Arabidopsis thaliana: one gene and its partners. The protein of the gene in region 2 interacts with the protein of the main gene of each other region in a pairwise test. Each region holds a gene or a part of one and is shown on either strand. Other genes may lie near its edges.

Region 1 (7,788 bases), 3.0 Mb from region 2:
ATACTTTAACCACACAAGGTAGTATATCAACCTACACATTCAAGGTAGTTGTTATTACCAAATCTACACTTGTTTTGGTCAAGTTGAATAGAAAACCGGGATGAACTAAACCGGAGTGGTGAAAATTGCAGGAGTATGGACTGGAATTGAAGCTTGATAGGAATGTTTATCTAGTAGATATAGTTAGGGAGAAGATTGGGAGAGTTTTGAAGCTTGATTCGATCAATGATGGAAAAAATTGGGTAGAGATGGATACATTGATTTTTAATACTTGGCATTGGTGGAGTCGGAGAGGTCCTGCACAACCGTACGTTCAAGTAACTCTGAATTAATATGCTTTGTTTTTGGCTTAATTACATGCAATGTTCAAAGTTTGGATTTGTTTTGTTAATTTTGGCAGATGGGATTTGATTCAAATAGGGACTAACGTTACAAAAGACATGGACCGTGTGGCCGCGTTTGAAATTGCGCTTGGGACTTGGGGGAAATGGGTCGATACCGTCTTAAATACTAAGAAAACTAGAGTCTTTTTTCAAGGAATTTCTCCATCTCATTACAAGTAAGTTGATTTTGTTGATTAAAAAGATGATCAACTAAAGAAACTTGTATTTAAAAAGTTGGCTTTGTTGTTTACCAGAGGAGTTCTGTGGGGCGAACCAGCGGCAAAGAGTTGCGTGGGACAGAAGGAACCACTTTTGGGGACAAAATATCCAGGAGGATTGCCAGCAGAAGTGGGAGTTTTGAAGAGAGCACTCGGGAAAATATCGAAACCGGTGACATTGCTAGACATTACGATGCTTTCGTTGCTTCGCAAAGATGCTCATCCTTCGGTTTACGGTCTAGGCGGGCGAAACTCCTCCGGTGACTGCAGCCACTGGTGTCTCTCTGGGGTACCGGATACTTGGAATGAGATTCTTTACAATTATATGGTTGAGTAAAAGAAATAAAATACGGAAACATCAATTATAGCATTTGTTATTGTGATTGATCATTTAAATCTGAATAAAAGGTCCGTTTCTGAATTTTGTAATCATACATAGGTTATTAGAATTAAAGAAATCGAATGATCAAGAAAAATAATTAATCTAAACCCTACCTCCGTGTAGTGTAAGTGAACACAATATGAAACTGTATAGATCAAAACTTCTATAGCTAATTCATTTAGTAAGGTCGTTTTTCAACTGATCGATAGTTTGTCAACAAAGCACATTCCAATTATTAAAGTTTCAACCAAATCTCTACAATAATTCTATAAAAATGGAACTGAATGAAGTCAAGTTATTATCAAATTCGATCTTAAAAAATCATATTCGTATGAATGAAGTCAAGTTATTATCAAATTCGATCTTAAAAAATCATATTCGTATTCGTACTCTCTTTATCTCCATGCCAAACACATAGATTTTACTCTGTTCTATCATGAGCACCTAATATTTTTGTAATGAATGTATCATGAGTTGAACAAAAGGGTCCTTAGCTCAGTGGTAGAGCATTTGACTGCAGATCAAGAGGTCACCGGTTCGAACCCGGTAGGGCCCTTCATTTTTTTTTCCTTTTTTTTTTTTTGACTAAGATTCTTTACAATTATATATACTTTCTTAGGACCATGGTTAGCAAGGAACCTATCTCTAGCAGCCAAAGATCTATATATAGCAAGCAAGAATGTGTTAATAGCAAGTTAGTAACGAAGAGCCTGTTCTTGTGATCGTATAAGTTCATAATACATCAGATTTTCAGTCATGATTCATCAATCCTTCGTTACAAGAAAAGCCTTTAACCTCTTTTTCATCATCTGTGTAATAAGATTTTCTTAGTAACTAACAAAAAGAAAACATAAGGAATCTCCTCAAACCAAGGACAAAAGAAAGGGCACAACATACTCAGAAAAGGGTTCTAATGAGTATGTGATTTTACTTTCTAGAATCGAAATGGAGTTTCAGGTCCATACTTGCTGCTCCTCATGTTGTAATGATCAAACTTTGAACTATTACTGTACTCCACAGGCTTCACCGTATCTGATGGTGTTGGCTTTGGTTCTGTCTCGGTTGTTTTATCTCTATGACGACGCCTTGACCGCTCTTTATGGATCTTCGGTTGGGCAACCTCTCCCGAGGCATAGAACTGAGCATAGTCCTGCCGTTTTGATGATGTCCGATGGTGCTTGGATGATGACAAAGTAGGGTCCTTCATTACACTACTTGATCTTAGCTTTGGCGTCTTATGTTCAGGGTAACTATCATCAGCTTTAGGTAAGTGAGCATGTCGGGATTCTGAGATTGGTGCTGGGGCAGTATGCCTTTGGACTCGAGGTGGTTCTTGTTCGTCTTCAGGCATTATGAGTCTATCTTTTAATGGCCTTAGATTGGGGTTGGTTTGGAATCGGGCTGGAACTAGGTGGCTGGTTATAAACTCGAGAGCAAGTTTGCAGAGATCAGTAAGGAGTTGCCCAAATGATGGCCAACCAGGTTCTTCCTTGGTTATTGTTTTCTCATGGACAGGCCGGGAGAGTTTCTCTTTTCCTGGATGCTCTTCTTCATAGCTGGTTTCTGATCCTACCTGCTGTAAGATAAAACAGAAATTGTTGTTGTTTGTAGCATATGGTTGATGAGAAGCGAAAAGGCACGAAAGAGAAGAGATAGAAATTTACCGTCTTTGAGAAGAAAGAATTTCCAAAGCCCTGCTGGAGCATACAAGTAGCATAACCAATGAGAACAGCACCAATAACCAAGAGTATATCTGCACCGAATGTAAGCACGCAATGATCTTCTGTTAACACTCTCAAATCCACCCCTAAACAGAGTGTATGCAAAATGATCTATGTAGTGGGAAGAGGTGTTTTTGACTTCTTACCAGTTAGAGAGATTGAGCTATCATCTTGATAGTCACAGTCCTCTTCACTGAGAGAGATTTGGCGAAGAGCCGCATTTCCTCTATCGATGACCAGCAACGAGCAGGTAGGCCGAACATATACGACATCAAAATCATTTGAGAACTTTGCATCCTCACTTGGCCCATCTCTATACCCAGCTATATTTGATTTTCCCCCAGCTATCGTAGTAACACCTGTAACAAAAATGTTTCAGACTCTTAAGAACACAATTCTTCTCAGTTTAATTATATTTTTCAACAACAAGCAACCATTTCAGTTTTTGAGTGCTGATGTAAGTAAAACCTATAGAAAACTTGTATACCTGAATCACCAATCTTTCGGATGGCGAGATTCAAAGTATCAGCGACATAAACGTTCCCTTTGTCATCCATTGTAACGCCTCTCGGATGGTTAAAACGAGCCTCACTCGGTTTTCCATCTGCATGCCCTGTTTTTCCTTGAAAAGATCCAGCCACCAATCTTCCCCTGCTGTCTGCCCACAAGTACATAGATTATAAACAAAGTCATAAAAACCTCCAACACTAAAAAAGAAAGAGAAAATCAAATGTTTCATATATAGTATAAAGAACCAGAATATTGAAGTAAAATAGAAAATGTAATGCTACAAGCCAAGATCATCAAAAGATCACAGTAGTATCGTTAGTGTATCAAGTATAATCTGCGATGGCATGTGTATATGATTGGATGTACTTAAAACTGCAAAAACTAAGTCATAAAGAAGAGAACTTGTGGAGAACGAAGTTTTACACTGAGACAAGGGAGGAGTGATTTTCATGATGTTGCTATTAAGTTCATCAACAGCATAAAGTTCTCCATCATCAGAAACTCGAATCTTGTAAGGAACAACACCAATATCGTTTCCTTCCACAACAGTTTCGACCAAGTAACCATTCTCAAACTGAAGAACATTAGTGTCTGCACCACAAGTAGCAGTTAGAGAAAGAAACATCAAAACCAAGTTTATGAACAACAAACAATCAAGGCGACCAAATTCAGTCGTACTAATTGAGAATTTACCTGATTGGGATAATTTAGAGGATGATCCAGTAGTCCACTTGAGAACCGATGACATGTGCTTAATCAAGGAACCTAAATTCAATTTACAACAATTGACATAAAAAACCAGAAATTGAAGAGTGAATTCACTAAGAAAGTGAGTGAAGCAGATAGATCAAAGCAACGAAGTTAAGTATGGTAAAGTTACCAGAAGGAGCAGCTTGAGCTTGAAATGGAAAGGAGTGAAGAGTAAAGAAGATCCATAAAGTGAAGAAAGTATTGAAAGAAGAACAAGTAAAGCTCTCAGCGTTTAGAAGAATCTGAGATTTGCCCATCTCTTTCTCTGTATCTTCCAAAAGTACAATTTTATGTTGGAATCGAACCCTAGTAGAGGCGATTCACATCTTCCAACACACCACAACACCAACTGATAGAATGAAACCAATTTGCAGATGACAACAGATTTTTTTCTTTTCTTTTTTGAAAGTAAGAAAAGAAATTGTGTAACGAACATAAAGTTACCTTATTGGGTTACTCGTGTTTTTTATGGGCCTTATAATAGGCCCATTAAGGTTCTTACCTTTCAATACGCCCATTTAGTGAGTGCTAAATCCTTTATACTCACTGCCACTGGGCCACTAGAAGTCTTGAATACTAAAAGACAAAACTAAAGTAAAGAAACAAAAAAAAAAAAGCCGATCAGATCAGAAGCACTTCTACGACATGTCCAATCGCATCAATACCTTTTTCTTGTCTGTTTCAAAATAAGGTAAATAAATTATATGCAACTTTATAGTATGTGAATAGTCGTTAATACATAATAAAAAAATCAAGAATAGTCGTGAATAGAGAAAATCCTTTTTATCAAATCCATACTCTCATAGGCTCATAGCTCTCAATTCTTGGTTTGAAATTGAAATCGAATTGTCTCTCAAGCTTTTTACTTTCCGTTAAACACGGACAATTAACTCACTTTGTACTAACTGATAAAATTACATGCATATGCCACTCCATCACTGCATCAGTGCATTGTATTCATAACTCGTACAAATATAACTGGAATGATGTATTCTCACGATTTCTATATTTATAAAGTTTGCATTTAAAGCCCACCAAGACTAATTTGGTTTACTTATTGCTTATAAGATGATTCAAACTTTGGACTTAGCAATTTTCAATCTTGATTTTGCTTTCATCGATAGGACAACTGTACTTATTGAGTTGCTTCACGTATTTAGTGAAAGCTAATACTGCTATTCAGCTGTCTTTTATGCAACTTGACAAATAATTTAAGAGTCTTATTTTATTTTTGTTCAACATTTAAGAGTCTTATTTAAAAACAAAAGAACTTATAGAGAATGAACTTACATAATTCTCGTTTGATTAAATAAACATCAAGGCAGTTAAATACGGAACTAAAGAAGGGTTAACAAATAGAAAGCGTTTTCAGGAGAATGTGGGAAATGGTTACACTTTTTTTTTAATTTGCCACGTGTCTTTCATCTATCTCACTCATACCGGACGGACCGGTCTTCGCGTACGTACGCAATAACAGCTTCCAAGTAGTTTCATTCCCAACCCAAACCGTGTGATTTTGCGTTCTGTCTGAACATCTTATTCCCTGACATACCGAGAACACCCCTACTTCCTTTTCGACGTTTCTTGGAGTAAAGTAGCAATGTCGGTGTAAATGTCCCTTTACCATGAGGGTATTTACGTAAATCTATGTCCTTTGAACTTCCCTAGGCTCACCCTTCTCTGTCATTTATTACTCTCTTCTCCTCTCCTACGACTCTCTCTCTCAGTCACTCTAAAGCCTTTTTCCCCTCTTCTCATTCTCGAGCTCCGGACTTGTCTTGAAACCGTGAAGGAATCTGTATCTTTTGTATGTTACCCATTTTATTGTCGTTAAGAATCAATTTAGAGGCAAAACGCCGAGAGGTTTGCCCGGGAGAGTGTTTTTACATCGATCAGGTTGGTTAGCTAATCAATATTTATTAATTATCATCTTTTGTTCTTCTGAATGATTTCGTCTTCATTGTTATTCTGCAGTTTCTTATATTCTCATTTTCAATCAAATGAATATATCATTGTGACTTGTGAATGCTCTTACAATCCCATCATTCATACCAATAATGCCATGGTCAAGCATTCACATCAGCTTGAATATTAGTCTCATATTGGTTCTGTGTTTATCCTTTTTCCTTTGGTAGGTAGTGATTTATAATTTCATATGATTGATTTGATCTGCAGGGTTTAAGCAGAGGTTGGTTTGTCATTTCGCCAGTTTGCTTCTTCAAATTCACTCTACGATGAAGTGAGAACAACAAACAAAACATAGATAAGATAGAGACCTTGGAACTGTTGGAAGGTAAATTCAATACAATCTTTTTAAATGAACTTTGCTTCTAAAGTTGTATTAAACCCTGAGAACCATATTAATTTAGACCTTCTGGAGTAATACTGGTTATGTTGCTGAGTTTATTATCACTCTTTAACATAACTCTTCTCATTAGTTTTCCTTTAATCCGTGTGCTTTATGGTCTAAGCTCTAGTGAAATAGAGAAATATGGTTGTTTTGTGAGTAGCTTGTGACTGTACTAAATGTTAGGTAGCTATATTTGGCTTTGAGGCTGTCTTACTTTTTTTTCAAATGAGTGGAATCAAATGACCATTTAAGAGAATCATATACATAGAGACATGTGTGTATTTGTGTGTGGGGGCACTTTTATGTTCTTGGATTCTAGTTTAACTGATTTGGTTTGTAGCAATTATGAATCCTGAATACTCTAATCCTTTTATCAGTGTCCCATAATTGTAAACTTATGAACAACTTTGAGTATATATATGTATTTAAACTCATTAGTTCTTTTTGTATTCACTTTCGCACTTTTTTCTTGACTGTTCCTTTTCAGAAAAAAGTTGAATAGAAAATAAGAACGAGGGGTGTTGAATTATTTGCATGTGTCATGTGTTCTGCAGATAAACCCATTTGGGTGTTATTTTTATTATATGTTGTTTTCTCACTTTTGTTTGATTCTATAGCAGCACAATTTGACTAAATAGCCCCACACACATATATAGCAAAAGATTTCAGAACATTAATAAGAAAGCAAAAAAGTTGATCGGTTCATGAAAAGAAATGGTACTACACACGCAAGTTGTTTATTCTTCTTCCTTGGACATTTCTTGATTGTTTATTCCTTGTAAATTAAAACATTTTTTTCATTTATATATGAACCACATTGTCCCCACAACTCTGGCTGAATCTTTAAGCTGTATCCACTAGATAATCTAAGCATGTATGTCTCTCTTTCTCTCTGTGTGTATATATATTTATTGCAAACATCTCCCTCCTTTCCTTTGTGACCAAAAGTGTAGTGCGAACCATTTGTGAAACAATCTCTTCAAGCTTCTTGTCTGCTCTTCATCTTTTTTTGTTGTTTTAACCAAAGAAGTCTACAAAGTGAAGCTCTATTAATGGTCCTAGATCTAATTTTGCTTTTACTTTTCTCTTTTTGTTCGATATAGACATTGTTACAAGTCCTATTCATCCACTTCTTCACTTTTTTTTTTGTTATCTTACTAAAGCATTGGTGATGAATCTGCAGATGGAGTCTGTGAAACCATTGGATGTTGTTTCTTCAGGAAAAGGAAAACTCAGACGCACATTTGCTAAAGTCATCAACATGAAAAAGCTAACCGGTGTTGTTCCAGAAGGTAACAACAAGGTTGAAAGAGTGAAGAAGAGCCAAGAAAAGGTGAAGTTGGATAAAGATTTAGCAAAGAATGCTGCAAATCTGTCTGAGTCCTTTGACAAGCTGGAGGAAGAGTATGAGAAAAGACTGGCCATGGAGGCTCTTCTTGCAAAGCTGTTTGCTACGATTTCTTCGATAAAATCT
Region 2 (7,021 bases):
TCTTTATATTGAGACCTATTTACTTGGGAATCAATAGGGTTTTGGGAGGGATCTCGTGGTTGTATGGGTTTAGATACACTCTGATGGTGCAAGGTATACTTTGTTACTGGAGAGCGTTTCTATACTTTGAGCGATCAAGTTTGTGGGAAAAGTTTGTAGAGAAACATGAGAGAAATCACGAAAAATCTTATTTAATCCCACTTTTGTGGACTATGAATGGGGTTTTCCTTATCTTTATCATCCTTCTGGTTTTGGCTGCAACTCTTGCGGTAGAAGCCAATATGAGGAAAGTTTTTAATATTCAAGGACAGATTGGAGTTAACTTTTATTGTCTAGGTAAGAGTACCGGGGAAGTATCAGTTTTAAGGTTAATGGTTTATATAAGTGATCCTGTTGCAGATAAATCGGTAGCTGAAATGAATGTTGCTTCATGCTTTGTGTGTAGTTATCTAAGCGTTGTTAGTCTTATGAAACTTTGCTATGTGGGGAATGATTTAGGGTTCATAGATGGGATAGCTTCTGTAGCCTTATCTATATTCACCCATTATTGTGAAGCCTATCATTGTAGAGTACTTGGGATCTTCATATGTTGGGGTATGATATTGCTAAAGAACATTTTATTCACCGCTTGCTGTCGACGTTATCTGCAACATGGTCACTTATATAAACCATTAACCTTAAAATTGATACTTCCCCGGTACTCTTACCTAGACAATAAAAGTTAACTCCAATCTGTCCTTGAATATTAAAAACTTTCCTCATATTGGCTTCTCCCGCAAGAGTTGCAGCAAAAACCAGAAGGATGATAAAGATAAGGAAAACCCCATTCATAGTCCACAAAAGTGGGATTAAATAAGATTTTTCGTGATTTCTCTCATGTTTCTCTACAAACTTTTCCCACAAACTTGATCTCTCAAAGTATAGAAACGTTCTCCAGTAACAAAGTATACCTTGCACCATCAGAGTGTATCTAAACCCATACAACCACGAGATCCCTCCCAAAACCCTATTGATACCCAAGTAAATAGGTCTCAATATAAAGAGGAAGATAGGACGCATAAGATACTGGTAAATGGGATGGAGAACAAACTGGTAAACAAAGAGGAAGATAGGACGCATAACATACTGGTAAATGGGATGGAGAACAAACTGGTAAACAAAGTGATAAACCCCGAAAACAAAATCCCCAAAATTAACCATTGACAATGTAGAAAGGGAAAGGGAAAGGAAGAAGCTTAGAAATGGATCTGAAAATGGTGGAGAAAGAAGAGCGAGAGGAAATAGGAGTGGCACCGTGGGTTGTTTTATAAGAAAAATAAAATCTTTTTTACCATTTTCATTCATTGTTTGTCGTTTATGCACGTGCATTCGTCCCTCTCTTTTTTTTTCAGTTGTATTTGTGTGAAACTTTAATTTAATTAGTTATACCAATGGATTTTTTTTCATAAGGTTCGTATTGAAGCATACAAATGATGTTTTTGTTTACATGTATTTATGCATAATTTGTATTTTGTAATTTCAGAATTGACCCGAATTATTTGAATTTTTATAGTTTAGAAAGAAAAAAAATCAGACAAAAAAATTTACTTTAAACAAATAATGAAAAAACCTAATAAGTATCCAGGGTATTCCAATAATGAGTAGTGGTAATCATTTTCCTTTTTAAAATTTTATATTAATAGTACTAAGTAACACAATTTGATGTGGTAATCTTAATTTTTTTTCTGTAGATAAACATTTACTTATTTACTCCTTCAGTAAACAATAAAACAACCCTAAAAGCGCATGTATTTTGTCTTTTATATAAAGTAAGATGATTTCTGTAAAAAATAAAAAATAAAAAAATAAGAATATAAAGAAGATGACAGCGACGGGATTGAAGGTCGCGATTCTTCCCCAACGGCAACAATTTTTTTTGGACTTTTTGGTCAATACTTTTTTTTTCTTTTGACATCCGGTCAGCATCATCAGTACTTAATTTCTTCTTGGATAAAGACATTGTTTAGTTTAATAAGCTTAATTCATATAGTAGAATAATTTAATATGATTACCAAATGTATTAGGAGTTGTAAAATTCATCCGCTTGTTCATTTTATGTTTAGGTAAGTTTTCAAACCCTAAATTAATCATAGTCTACACAATTTTTGTTTACTAATAATTAATGCTATAATAGAGAAATCGTAGTTTTACGTTGGGCAACTGCGTGGTAACTGGTATTCATTTTTTTTTTTTTAACTGGTATTCATATTGGGGGCTTTTATAAGAATTGACATATATTGAGCTGAAAATTAGAAAATAAACACTTTTATGATGAGTTAATAGGGTTGGATACTTTTCAAAACTGGCTCGGTCGGTTTAGAAATTTTGTTTCGGGTCATAACGGAGGCCTAGACTTAATTTATCATATCTTCACATGCATCGCCATTTCTATTTTATATGTGTTTTCTAGTGTAGGATAAAAATTTTTATATTGGGATGTATATAAAAATATGAGTGTCTTTTCGAATTTTTTCTAGTATCCAAGACATAATTGGAAAACATGATTAGGGACAATGTTTACATAAAGAAAAGGTTTTTCTTAGAGGGACAATATTTGCACAGGTGAGAAATCTGCTTAGTGGAAAGACGACACTTAAGATATGTATTTATTTTTTAGACAAAAAAAAAGATATGTATTTATTAGTTTACATGCAAAAGGCCAATAAGTTCTCTCGTCAATGGACAATGAATCAGAAGCATTCCTTATTTTGTTCCTTCTTCTGTATTCTTGAGGTCCCTACTGAATTGTCAACGTCTACAAAAAAGTTCCCCTATGATACTCATTTTCGACGGCATTACGGTAAACAACGTTATATATTTTGGATATAAAAAGAAGAAGATAAAGCATATATCCAACGTTTACTATGCTGCCATCTTGAGATTGTAAGGATACGAATTAGGTAAATGTTGGTCACAACAATATTCCGTTGAGTTATAGCGTCTCACTAATAAAGACTGTATCCTAAATTTCTAATAAAGAAAAAAAAAGAGTTGCATCTACCACATTCATCTAGTTAGATATGAGGTGCTTTGAATGGTAATGATTTGTCTCAAAAAATCTATCTAGCTAGTTTTCAAATATAAGAGATCTAAAAATAGATATATACATAGTTATCCGTAATTAGTGAGATTTGGGATGTGCTAAAACACTCTCCAAGGGTTCGAGCTTTCCTAAAACAAATATCACATTTATATCGAAAATCTAGATTAGACCCTAACAGTTTATATTATGATGGTAGTCCAACAATAGGCTATATGGCTACTCCCAAACATTAGTATGGAAATATTCCAAATTCGAGATAAGCAGTGTAGCGGTCATTTAAGAAAAAAATCCACTTTGTAATATTTTAATACCTTCCTAACCAAACTAACAAGATCAACTAATATAATTTATAAAAAAAAAAATAGATAGTCTAAGTCATGCTTAAATATCCAGATATTTATACATGCAAAAAAAGTCTCTTGTGAATTAGATCTGACAATCATTTTGAGAGTAATCTAATAGAATTTGAATGCCCTATTAGTAGGCCCAGGATAGTAGAAAAAGTAGAAAAACATTTCAAAAACAAAGAGAGTTAATAGGCAGAACCCAAATGGCTGGGTTTTGGGATCATACTGACCAGCAAATACAGCTGAGCAGCATCCAAATAACAAAATGAGCACTACATAAAAAAAGTAAAATCTTTCTACAGGGAAAACCAACTGAACCAACACGAAAATTCCAAAAACCACTGATATGATCAAAACAGATGCTGCAAGGGTTTGGAAATTGAAGACAGTAAAGTAGATTATGGTAAGCAGTATGAGAGGGATAACAGTTCTCACCCATCGATGTGCTCTGTAAACTGGAGATGGAGCTTCAGAGAAAATGGAATGCAAGACTGGAATCACATAGATAGCTACAACAAACATTACCAGATAAGAGACATCCATCTGGATCTCCAAGGCATTCACAGCACCCACAGCTCCAAAAACGCAGAGAAAAGCCATGATAGTCCAACCAAATCTGGTTACTGGATCATTCACACCAAACACTTCAACTCTCTGGGGAATCTTCGTCTTTCCTTTATTATTTTGGTTTCGCTTAGATTTTTTGGCCATTGTTGCCGGGGTTTTTCTTTTATAGAGATGGAGTTAGGAAGATGAACTGCGACGGATAAGAAAGATGCTTTAAAAGCGACGGGAAAAAGAAAGAAAGAAAGAAAGATGCTCTAAAACTAGGGTTTGCTTCTTTCTTTAAACCGGGAAAGTAAGTAAAACCATGTGCTGCTTTTGACAACTGTCATCCGCTCACTGTTTTTTATTTTTGGAAAACCACTAAGTTTTATTTTTATTTTGGTTTTAGTTAATAGCATACCGTGTTGATTCGTCTGCTAGCCTTTTTAAAAAGTAATGATTTTTTTACCTGCAAATAACTAGGTTGAAAAAGTAATAATAAAATTTTTTTACATACCGAGTAGTATTCTTCCTTTATTTGAGTTGTCTTCCCGTGCGCTGACGTTATCGTCCGAGCTGCCGAGCTGGGAGTGTCATCGTCGAGGTTCTCCAAGTGACGCCCGCCTGATGACTTCTCCTCTTGTTCTTGGTTAGGCGTGAGTGATAACGAGGTCGGTATGTTTAATGAGGTTATGGGATGTTCCTCTTTGATCGGCGGCACTTCCTCGTTGGTCAGTGTTATTGTCCTGACTGCCGGGCTGGAAGTGTCATCGCCTAGGATGATGGGGTCGATAGTTCCTTGAAGTCCTTTTCTTGTCGGAGAACATGCTGCGATATCGAATGAAGAGGTCGAGTGACTGGCTCTCCCGGGGATCGACGTTGTCGTTTTACTTCCAGAGCCTGACGAGTCGGTATCGAATGCTCCATGTAGTCTGTTTGTTATCACTTTGCTTCGTCGCGGGGTCGTAGTTTTGAGAGATATCTTCGAGCTATCCCCCTACCTGGCGCGCCAACTGTTGATGCACGAATCACACAAGTACGAAAATGGGATCTCTAGGGAAGGAAGAATCTTTCTATTAAAGACGAGCCTGCGACTTAGGCGAATTGGACGGATTACAAAGGATGATTTCTTCAACGAGCATAGATGGAGTAAGAACGAGCTGATTGTAGATGAAAGGCGAGCTTGATGCCGGAAGACGAACTTGATGTCCGAGGAAGAATAGAGTTTATTCGTTTTATAGCTGAACCTTGTAAAAGGTTGCCTACGTACCCTTAGAAAGGGATCAAGCCACTTCGAGCTATCCCCCTACCTGGCGCGCCAACTGTTGATGCACGAATCACACAAGTACGAAAATGGGATCTCTAGGGAAGGAAGAATCTTTCTATTAAAGACGAGCCTGCGACTTAGGCGAATTGGACGGATTACAAAGGATGATTTCTTCAACGAGCATAGATGGAGTAAGAACGAGCTGATTGTAGATGAAAGGCGAGCTTGAGGCCGGAAGACGAACTTGATGTCCGAGGAAGAATAGAGTTTATTCGTTTTATAGCTGAACCTTGTAAAAGGTTGCCTACGTACCCTTAGAAAGGGATCAAGCCACACGTAGTTCATATTAGAATAAGTGAGCTAGGCCGTCATTGGAGGTAGGTCGGCAGGTAGTTGACGAGGGATGAGCTGATAGCTAGACGAGGAGTTGGACGAGCTGACTAGCTGACAGCTAGGCGAGGAAATGGTCGCTGAGTGATGGGAAGAGCTTGAAGACGAGCTGAGGAGCTTGAGGACGAGTCGAGTTTGAAGAGCTTAAAGGCGATCTGAAGAGCTTGACGAAGTGGAGCGAGCTAACGAGCTTCTTGAGAAGGGCGAGCTGATGAACTACTTGAGAAGGGCCCAATCCGACCCCTAACAAAGACTTATGTTTAGATATGTTTTCATGCGATCCAAACTATACTATATATTTTTTTGGACGGATTTTTTAATAAGTTTTATGGAGTTCACAGACGAGTTTGAACGAAGCGTTTTCTTTATATATGTGCTATGCGAAATAAAAACTTGAAGACAAATTTAAATAATAATGTGATGTAGTAGGGCAATTGCATAATCGATAAATCCGGATAAGTGTGCCCCGATACAACAAAAGCAACAACGTTTACGAGGACAATGAATAAGACACTAATGGCACCTTTGACACGCTCCTGGCCTATAAACTATGGTTCGAATATGTTTGTAGATATGCTGATTGAGAGAATCTACAAAGACAGATAATAGCCAATATACTCTGACATACTCGAGCCAGTGTGTCTTTAACTGGGAGAACTTCTTCCTGAAGTGTGAAACAGAACCAGAAAAGTTACATACGTACATGCTCGAGAGATTTATTCGCAGCAAATAGATTGGTTCTCTTTTTGCAGCTTCTCCCAAAGACACAAAATTAGTCTAGGAGTTTGGTAATGAACAAGAATGTAATTTGATTTACAATCACTGTTATGAAATCTTTTGTCATTGATGTACTTCACTCTTTTTATCGTCTGGTTGAATTGTTGAATCCATATCCCCATCGCCACATCTTCCAGCTTGAAAAGCTTTCAACAAACAACATAAGAACAACGTCACTTATGATATCTAGGATTCGTTATATCTTAACTCTATGGTGATGAAACTACAAAACTCACTCCAAGATCTCTTTGACGGTGACCCTTCACCACAAATTTCGCTATATCATGAGAGATGATGTAGCCAGGGCCATGTGCCCATGGAGGGTATGAATCTAAAGGCCATTCCTTCACAAAGAGAAAGCCATATATGAGTCTCTAAGAGGATTAGAGCCCACAGAGGTGTGAGAAATATTGAGAAGTTTTACCTCTTTAGGGATAAACCATTTGCTGCCTTGTTCACGGTCCGGTGATGAATCAAATGAGATCAAACCGTACAGAAGGGCACTAGACGGTCTTTCTTCTAGACTTGATAGGAGCTCATCAATCCGTACAAACGCATCATCATCCGTCTTCATTATGTATTTTGCTGGGATGACTTTGGTCTGTATCAACA
Region 3 (6,704 bases), on a different chromosome or scaffold from region 2:
GCATCTTGTTGCAGGTAAATCTAATTCTTAATGACTGCTTGCAAGTTACTTTGTGCAATCTAACTGAACTTTTTCCTGGTGCAGATTGCTCAAAGGAATAGCTTAGACGTGGATGTTGACTTAGCCCTTGGTTTTGCCTCGCATTATAGTAAAATCGAAACGATGGATTGCCTTGTAGAAGAAGGTCATGCAATTGCTTTCTTGGGTCCCTTGATGAGAGCAGCGGAGAGAGGTTGCATGCAAGTTGTTCAATGGTTTGTGAAACGAGGCTGTCGTGAAATGGAGCTATGCTTAGCTCTCACAGCCGCCACTTCAAGCAGCCAGGTTGAGGTTGCTGCTTATCTCCTTCCTCATGTTCCAAGACCCGTCCTTACTGCTCTCAGCATTGAAATCCTCAAAGCAGCCGGTGAAAGAAGTGGTGGTTCCCTCCACGGAGTAGAGTTTCTCCTTAAATCAGATTTCCTCGGGGATCCAGCAGCCACATATTCAGTTGCAGACACCATTGCAAAGTCAGAAGACGAGTCTGTTCCTTCCGACCTCAAATCGTTTCTCCAAGAACAGTGGTCAGAAGCTGCATTCAACCAAGGATTGAAGGAAAGCCGGGAAAATTACATGAATTTCATGAGAGTTTTGAAACTCGGAGAGTCTGCAATAAGTCTAAAGGATCTCCCAGCACCATTGAGAGTGGCAATCGCCTACATGCCACTGTACAGAGAGTGTGTGGATGCGGGTGGCCGGCTGCTCTCACAAAAGCTAAGAGGACAGCTCGTGGAAGCTGCAACACAGCTTGAAGGCTTCGATGTAGACACAGAAGAAGTAAAGAAAGGTCATCATCAGCTCATGACCATCTTGGAGCATCACCTTCCTCTTTTTTTGGTCAAAGCTTCTTTACACTGAGCAACAATGGATTCAGCATCTGAGTTAACACAACTCGTTTTAAATAGTTGATAAAATAAGAACTGAAAAACAACCATTCCACTATAGTTATGGATTCTGATCCAGGTTGTGAGATGATGAAAAAGGGTTCTTGTAGACTTGTACAAACTTGCTATGAGAATGTCTTTGTCAAAAGTCTCTCTATCTGTCTTTTATGCATCCTAAACCATGGGAGAGATAATCAAAGCCTTTTATATTATTTCATCTACATATTATTTCACTTCTTCTGTCTCAGACTCTTATTGGTCTCCTCTCCTGTAATGAAAGCCTTTCAATTTCTTACATTTTGTACCAATCTCTCATCCTGGTTTTGCTTCAGACCATGAGAAAAATGAAATCATGAAACTATTAATCATTCTTTATTTATATAAATAGTTGTATAATTCTGCATCAAGAAAACAAGTTTTACAAATGAAATATTAATCTCTTACCCTGAAACCTTATGTAATGACAATAGACAAAACCTCCCTTTGTTTAAGGATTTCTTTCTTCAATTAAAGAAACGTTTATTACATAAAAGTGGAAGAAGAAGAAACATGTTTGGAATTAGAAGAAGGCATGAAAGCAAGAACCATAAGCAAAACCATAATCCCAATAGGAATCAAAAGCAGCATAAAAGGAGGAGGAGGCAATGGTGGAAGAATCAACGGTAAGATCAAGAGAGATGCTGTGAGACCAACAAGCACAACCATTGATTCTAAACTGAAGTAACTCGCTGATATTAGCCTCCTTGGACTGTTCTGCGACGACAATGTCCGAAACAATTCTTGCTTCCCCATAATCGGAGCTGGAGCTGAACCACGAAAACTCGTGTTTTTCCGGTTATGATCTCCTCTCACGTCCATGTTGTTGTTGAGAGAATAATGTTCTTGAATGTTTATGATGTCGTTTTGTAGACTGGAGAACTCACGAATCATTTAAAGAAGGCTTTTTCTCTTTTCGAAGTTTGATCTGGAAAATCAGATCGATGTATGAAGAAGAAACTTGAGTTTGTTTATCCAAACGCATAAAAAGTAACGAACTTTTCTTCTTCTTCTTCTTCTGTAAATGTAGTTTGGTTGAAGAACCCTGACGATGAAATGATTATCCCGAAATGCAGACAAAATCTAAGGTTTAGAACGAGTGATCTTGGCGTTTCCAGACCTAAAAGGACTAATCTTTTTTTTTTGCCGGTAGAGAGAAAAGATTCAATTGGTGTTTCAAGAAAGCTGCAAGAGAAAATTTGTCCAAGTTTTGATCAGTAAATCGTTGTGATTCAATCAAAAACATGAGCAGAGAATGAATCAAAAGAATCGAAAGTAAGTACCTTTAAACCGTTAGAGCCAAACACACCTTCAGCGAGAAGAAGATGAAGATTGAACGTTGGAAACCAAAAACAGGGTGTTAAAGCTTAAATACAGAGGAAGACGAAGAAAGTTTCTTTTGGTAAGAAAACCAGAGAAGAAGAAATAAAGTGGGAGTGGTTTTGATAAAAGGAATTGGTATAAAAATAGATGGTAAAAGATAATGAGAGAAATAAATATAATGTTTTTGGGGTTAAGACTGTGGAATCAGAGAAGAAACAGGAAACAGAGGAAGGTTCACTGAATTTACAGATTTTTCTAAAATGATAAGATTTTAATTTTAATGTTTTTTTTCTCTTTTGGGGGTGACAAGTGTGAGAGGCAAGTTGCTGCTTATTCTGGAAGGTCTGAACAAAATTGAAATCTCTCTATTTGATTACTTTACACTTCTCTCTCTCTTTCCACAATCACAGTGGTTCTTCTCCCCTAGACACTTTCTCTGATGATGACGTGGGATGGAATTTATTTGGGGTAAGCCTCTGTTTGAGATGGAGGTTTCAGTTTCTTTTGGAATATTCAATGGTGGTTTTTAATTAAAACGAATCCAAACTTTTATAACGTTGATCGTGTATTATTGTAGACTATAGTCAAAGTTGTTTGGTTGAAATAAATAAAGCAGTATCAGTCATTAATAATACTAGAAACAAATAATTAAAGATAAGATAAATATTTTAGGTTATCACAAATAATCTTTGTTCTATATGATAATGTTTTGTTTGTTTTATATAATCATTTAGAGTTGTAATCTATTGAAACTATGGACGGGGAAACGTACTAATTAAAGATTCGAATTCCTCGCGCACAAAAAATTGAATATGAGAAGTGATAGCAATAATCAATAGATTGAATTCGGTGAATTACCAAATTAGTTTGACAAATATATTCAACATTTATCACTTTTTTTTTGTCATAGAACTGTATAATATGTATATGTATATGTGTGTGAATTAATTAAATTTTCCAACCTAATAATAATGTTGTCTATGTGTTATCGACCGATGATGACCCATATTGTTATTCCTCTCGGCATTTCATGTGGTGGCTATATCATATTATCGTTTTTAGTGGGACAGTTGGTCCAATATTTATTTCTCTTTCGTTTTATGCTTTTAATAGTCAGAAGAAATGCCAACTTAAATTTATATAATTAGGGAATTTTGTATTTTACATGATACATAAAGGATACATAAGTGGTCTTATTATTATTATTATTATTTATTTTAAAAAGGGCTAGGTGTTGTTTAGTATGATTTAAACAAAAAAGTGATATAGTATTAAATATCGTACTATATTAAAAATGCTATTTGTTAAAAATACAAGACAGCTTATTATTTTTAAAAACACATAAAATAATATATTAAGATTTTTTTTTTTTCATTCATTATCTTTCAGGTAAACCGATATAATTTATTTGTTTAACAGCCTAAAAATGTAATAATTAAAATATCTAATGGATATATTCATAAGTACTTTTCGTTGGGTGTTTAATTAAGAGGGACATGATAATTTTCGCAAGCAGTTTAGTTTCAGCCGTTCTGGTATTAACCAATTGACAGCTTACCAAAATCCACTACTCATTTTTTATTTTTTTTTCAATCCAAAATACTTATTTATCCAAATTCAATGAATCGCATGTATAACATCTATTGATTACGTCTTTTCTACTTTTTTTTACAAAGGAGAAATGGTTTTATTCGTCAACTACTAGCTAAACTCCCAATGGAAATGACATTACTATTCTACAATTATAATGGCTCAAGTAGACATAATTACAACAAAACTTCACCTCCCGCTTTAAACAAAAACAAAACTTAATTAACGTCAATAAAAAGATGATGCAGACTTTTAAATTGTTAGAACAAAGTTTAACAACTATATATAACTGATCAGTTATATAAATAGCATATACACCATAGTGATATCTTCCCGATCTTAAAAGATATTCAAATTATCTTGTGGATATGTACTTGATTCGATATCTTTGATTTTTTGTATTCATGATCTTATGGTTAGGATCGATGCCACCAGTTCCTATGTAAACAAATAGATAATATGTAGGTAAATAACATTGCTTATACCAATCTAAATGTCAGTTAAGAATATATTGATACATATGTTTATAATGCCTTACAGATTTATAGAAAACCCATATTTGATTATAGTGATATATATAAGAACGTATACAGAGAGCGCAATCTCTTATCCAAATCAGAAAAAGATTTCAATTCGTAGCCAAAACCAAGAAAGATATAAGATATAGGTGAACTATAGGAGGGTGTTTTTTTTACTCGTAATTCCTTGGATTCTATTGGTTAATCCATCATCCATAGTGTGTGTATATTTAATTTTTAGAAAATTAGAAAGAAAAAAATTGTAGAAAGGGAAAGCTATATAGAAATGGCAACCCATGCATGATTGCCTTGAACATCGCAAACCCTCCCTTAGATTGCATGTCTAGTGGAACATAGTGGACCTGCAACAATATTCAACAAAAAATTCATATTATATACATTGCATAATGCATAGTAGGACATAATAAGATGAATTATTATGCTCAATAACAAGTTTATATGATATGCCCACAGTTTCATCACATATACTTGAGTTTATTAAAACGAATGATTCTATTTCTCTATTAAGATTAGCCTTTATTAATTGTTAGTGGTATGAGATATATTGAAGAAAATAAGTATAAGCAAAAAAAATGTTGATAGAAGAATTAAATAAGCAATAATTTCAAAAGGTATGTAATGTGGATGAAACGGCACATGTCGTTGTCACGTGGCTCGTTCCCATCGATTCAATGCATATCTCGACCAACTTGACTTATTAATATTCCTCGTACAACTCTCCAATCTAAAGCCACCTTTCTTCTACGTTATACATTTTCTTTTTCTGTTTTCTTTTAAATACTTTCTCCTCACAAATTATTGTTTTCTATTATCTAAAATCAATACCGTTAGGAAATGGTGTCTTTATAACACTTTAGAAAAATATAATTAATCATTTTCTAATGTATTATTTTTGTAATTGAGTAATTTGATTTAAAAATATAAACTAATATAATAATATTGGTATTTAATCATTTCAAATATTCTTAATTATATTCTTTTTGAATACACGCATATTGTTCTAAACTATTAATTTCTTACAAAAATTCTATATTATTTATTGTGTCTACAAACAAAAGAGTCGTCTAATCATTTTTGGTTTCATTTTTTTTTTGCTAGAAATCAAAAACAAATTCCTCATTTTTTTTGAGGTAAGCTAATGTTATTTTCTAATAACAATCATAAGTAATACCCGTGGTTTAAAGTTTACACGGTATTAATTAGGTACTACAGCCATGGTGGACGGTGGATCTTCATCACCTAATCCGTACAATTAAGAGACAATTAATTACATTAAATCATGTGCATTAGTTGATTTAGGAACTAATTGATAAATCAACTCTAAAGACTAAAGTAGTGCGATAGATAAAGCTAAAGTATATATTTTCTTCAGTATAAAGATAGGAATATATGGGGACATATACTTTTGTCGATTTTGTATCCAGCTTTGCATCAGTGAAGTCTGAGCGAAGATATGACCAGACTTAAAAAGCAACTAAAAAGATGCATAACAGAAACACAAAAATAAAATTCATGCATCTGCTAGTCATAGAGGTTATTGGATTCATTGCACGTATCTTAATGATTCGTTTTCGTTTCACCTCCCTTGCTACAAAAGATTTGAAAGAGAAAATGTTAAATTCTTTAGGTCAGAATCAATTAAGATAATTTCATTTTCTTCTTGTGTTTTGTACGTCACTTGTTTCTTTTTTCGTTGGTTATGTACCAAAACATGAAAAGTTCAAAAATTGTTAATTAGAAGATTAAAGAGAAGAGTAAGAATAAAGATGAAATGAGGAATTGATATGGAGGAGTAGGACCCAAGTTTGCAAGGATGGTGGCTGGCTGGCTGCTCTGTTGTTTGTTACATCTCATTCTCAATCTTAATTCCAATTCTATGTGCTTCTTTCACTATTTCCCTATAGAATACCATTCTTGTTTTTTTTTTTCAATTTTCAAAAACCACTATAAGGAACTTTTTCAATAGTTGCTTGTTTGTTTAGACCAAGGAAGATGTCAAATAGATTTCTTCACTTTTCAAGTGGAAGCAAAATTATGCGGTCAAGTGTATTATACTAGTGTGTGTTTTTTTTTGGTTTAATACCGACTAATTTCTAACTCTAATCTATCAGTGAACGTCTTAAAACTAATATTGCTGAAGAATATATTGTTCTCTGCTACAGCCTACAGCATTCAAAGTTTCATCAAAAAGATAAAATGTATATATAACTAAAAGTTTTGGGTTAATAGATAATAGTCAAAGAAGACATTCGTGTTGAATGTTTCTTTTTTTTTTTTTTTTTTATCGTGGGGA

What was found.
Region 1: the proteins of AT3G06435 (region 2) and AT3G14860 interact in a protein complementation assay, tested with the Arabidopsis thaliana proteins (one large-scale study listed by BioGRID).
Region 3: the proteins of AT3G06435 (region 2) and ARL interact in a protein complementation assay, tested with the Arabidopsis thaliana proteins (one large-scale study listed by BioGRID).

The regions. Positions count from the first base shown.
Region 1 is NC_003074.8:4,996,674-5,004,461, forward strand, and holds AT3G14860 (NHL domain-containing protein), read right to left. Parts: upstream 4,374-7,788; 5' UTR 4,222-4,373; coding exon 4,095-4,221; intron 3,980-4,094; coding exon 3,908-3,979; intron 3,806-3,907; coding exon 3,638-3,805; intron 3,363-3,637; coding exon 3,192-3,362; intron 3,064-3,191; coding exon 2,851-3,063; intron 2,737-2,850; coding exon 2,648-2,736; intron 2,560-2,647; coding exon 1,918-2,559; 3' UTR 1,631-1,917; downstream 1-1,630. Other genes in the region: TBL41 (TRICHOME BIREFRINGENCE-LIKE 41), read left to right, coding at 1-44, 132-307, 401-559, 638-938; AT3G14870 (hypothetical protein (DUF641)), read left to right, coding at 7,486-7,788.
Region 2 is NC_003074.8:1,966,565-1,973,585, forward strand, and holds AT3G06435 (uncharacterized protein), read right to left. Parts: upstream 4,221-7,021; 5' UTR 4,151-4,220; coding exon of another isoform or gene 4,141-4,150; coding exon 3,538-4,140; 3' UTR 2,795-3,537; coding exon of another isoform or gene 2,777-2,794; 3' UTR 2,472-2,776; downstream 1-2,471. Other genes in the region: AT3G06436 (uncharacterized protein), read left to right, coding at 3,776-3,799, 3,841-4,048, 4,128-4,150, 4,385-4,432; AT3G06440 (Galactosyltransferase family protein), read right to left, coding at 6,349-6,555, 6,646-6,753, 6,834-7,010.
Region 3 is NC_003071.7:18,232,875-18,239,578, reverse strand, and holds ARL (ARGOS-like protein), read right to left. Parts: upstream 2,791-6,704; 5' UTR 2,243-2,790; intron 2,145-2,242; 5' UTR 1,854-2,144; coding exon 1,446-1,853; 3' UTR 1,406-1,445; downstream 1-1,405. Other genes in the region: AT2G44090 (Ankyrin repeat family protein), read left to right, coding at 1-14, 85-897. UniProt on the Arabidopsis thaliana protein: Promotes cell expansion-dependent organ growth, probably via a brassinosteroids signaling pathway. Acts downstream of BRI1.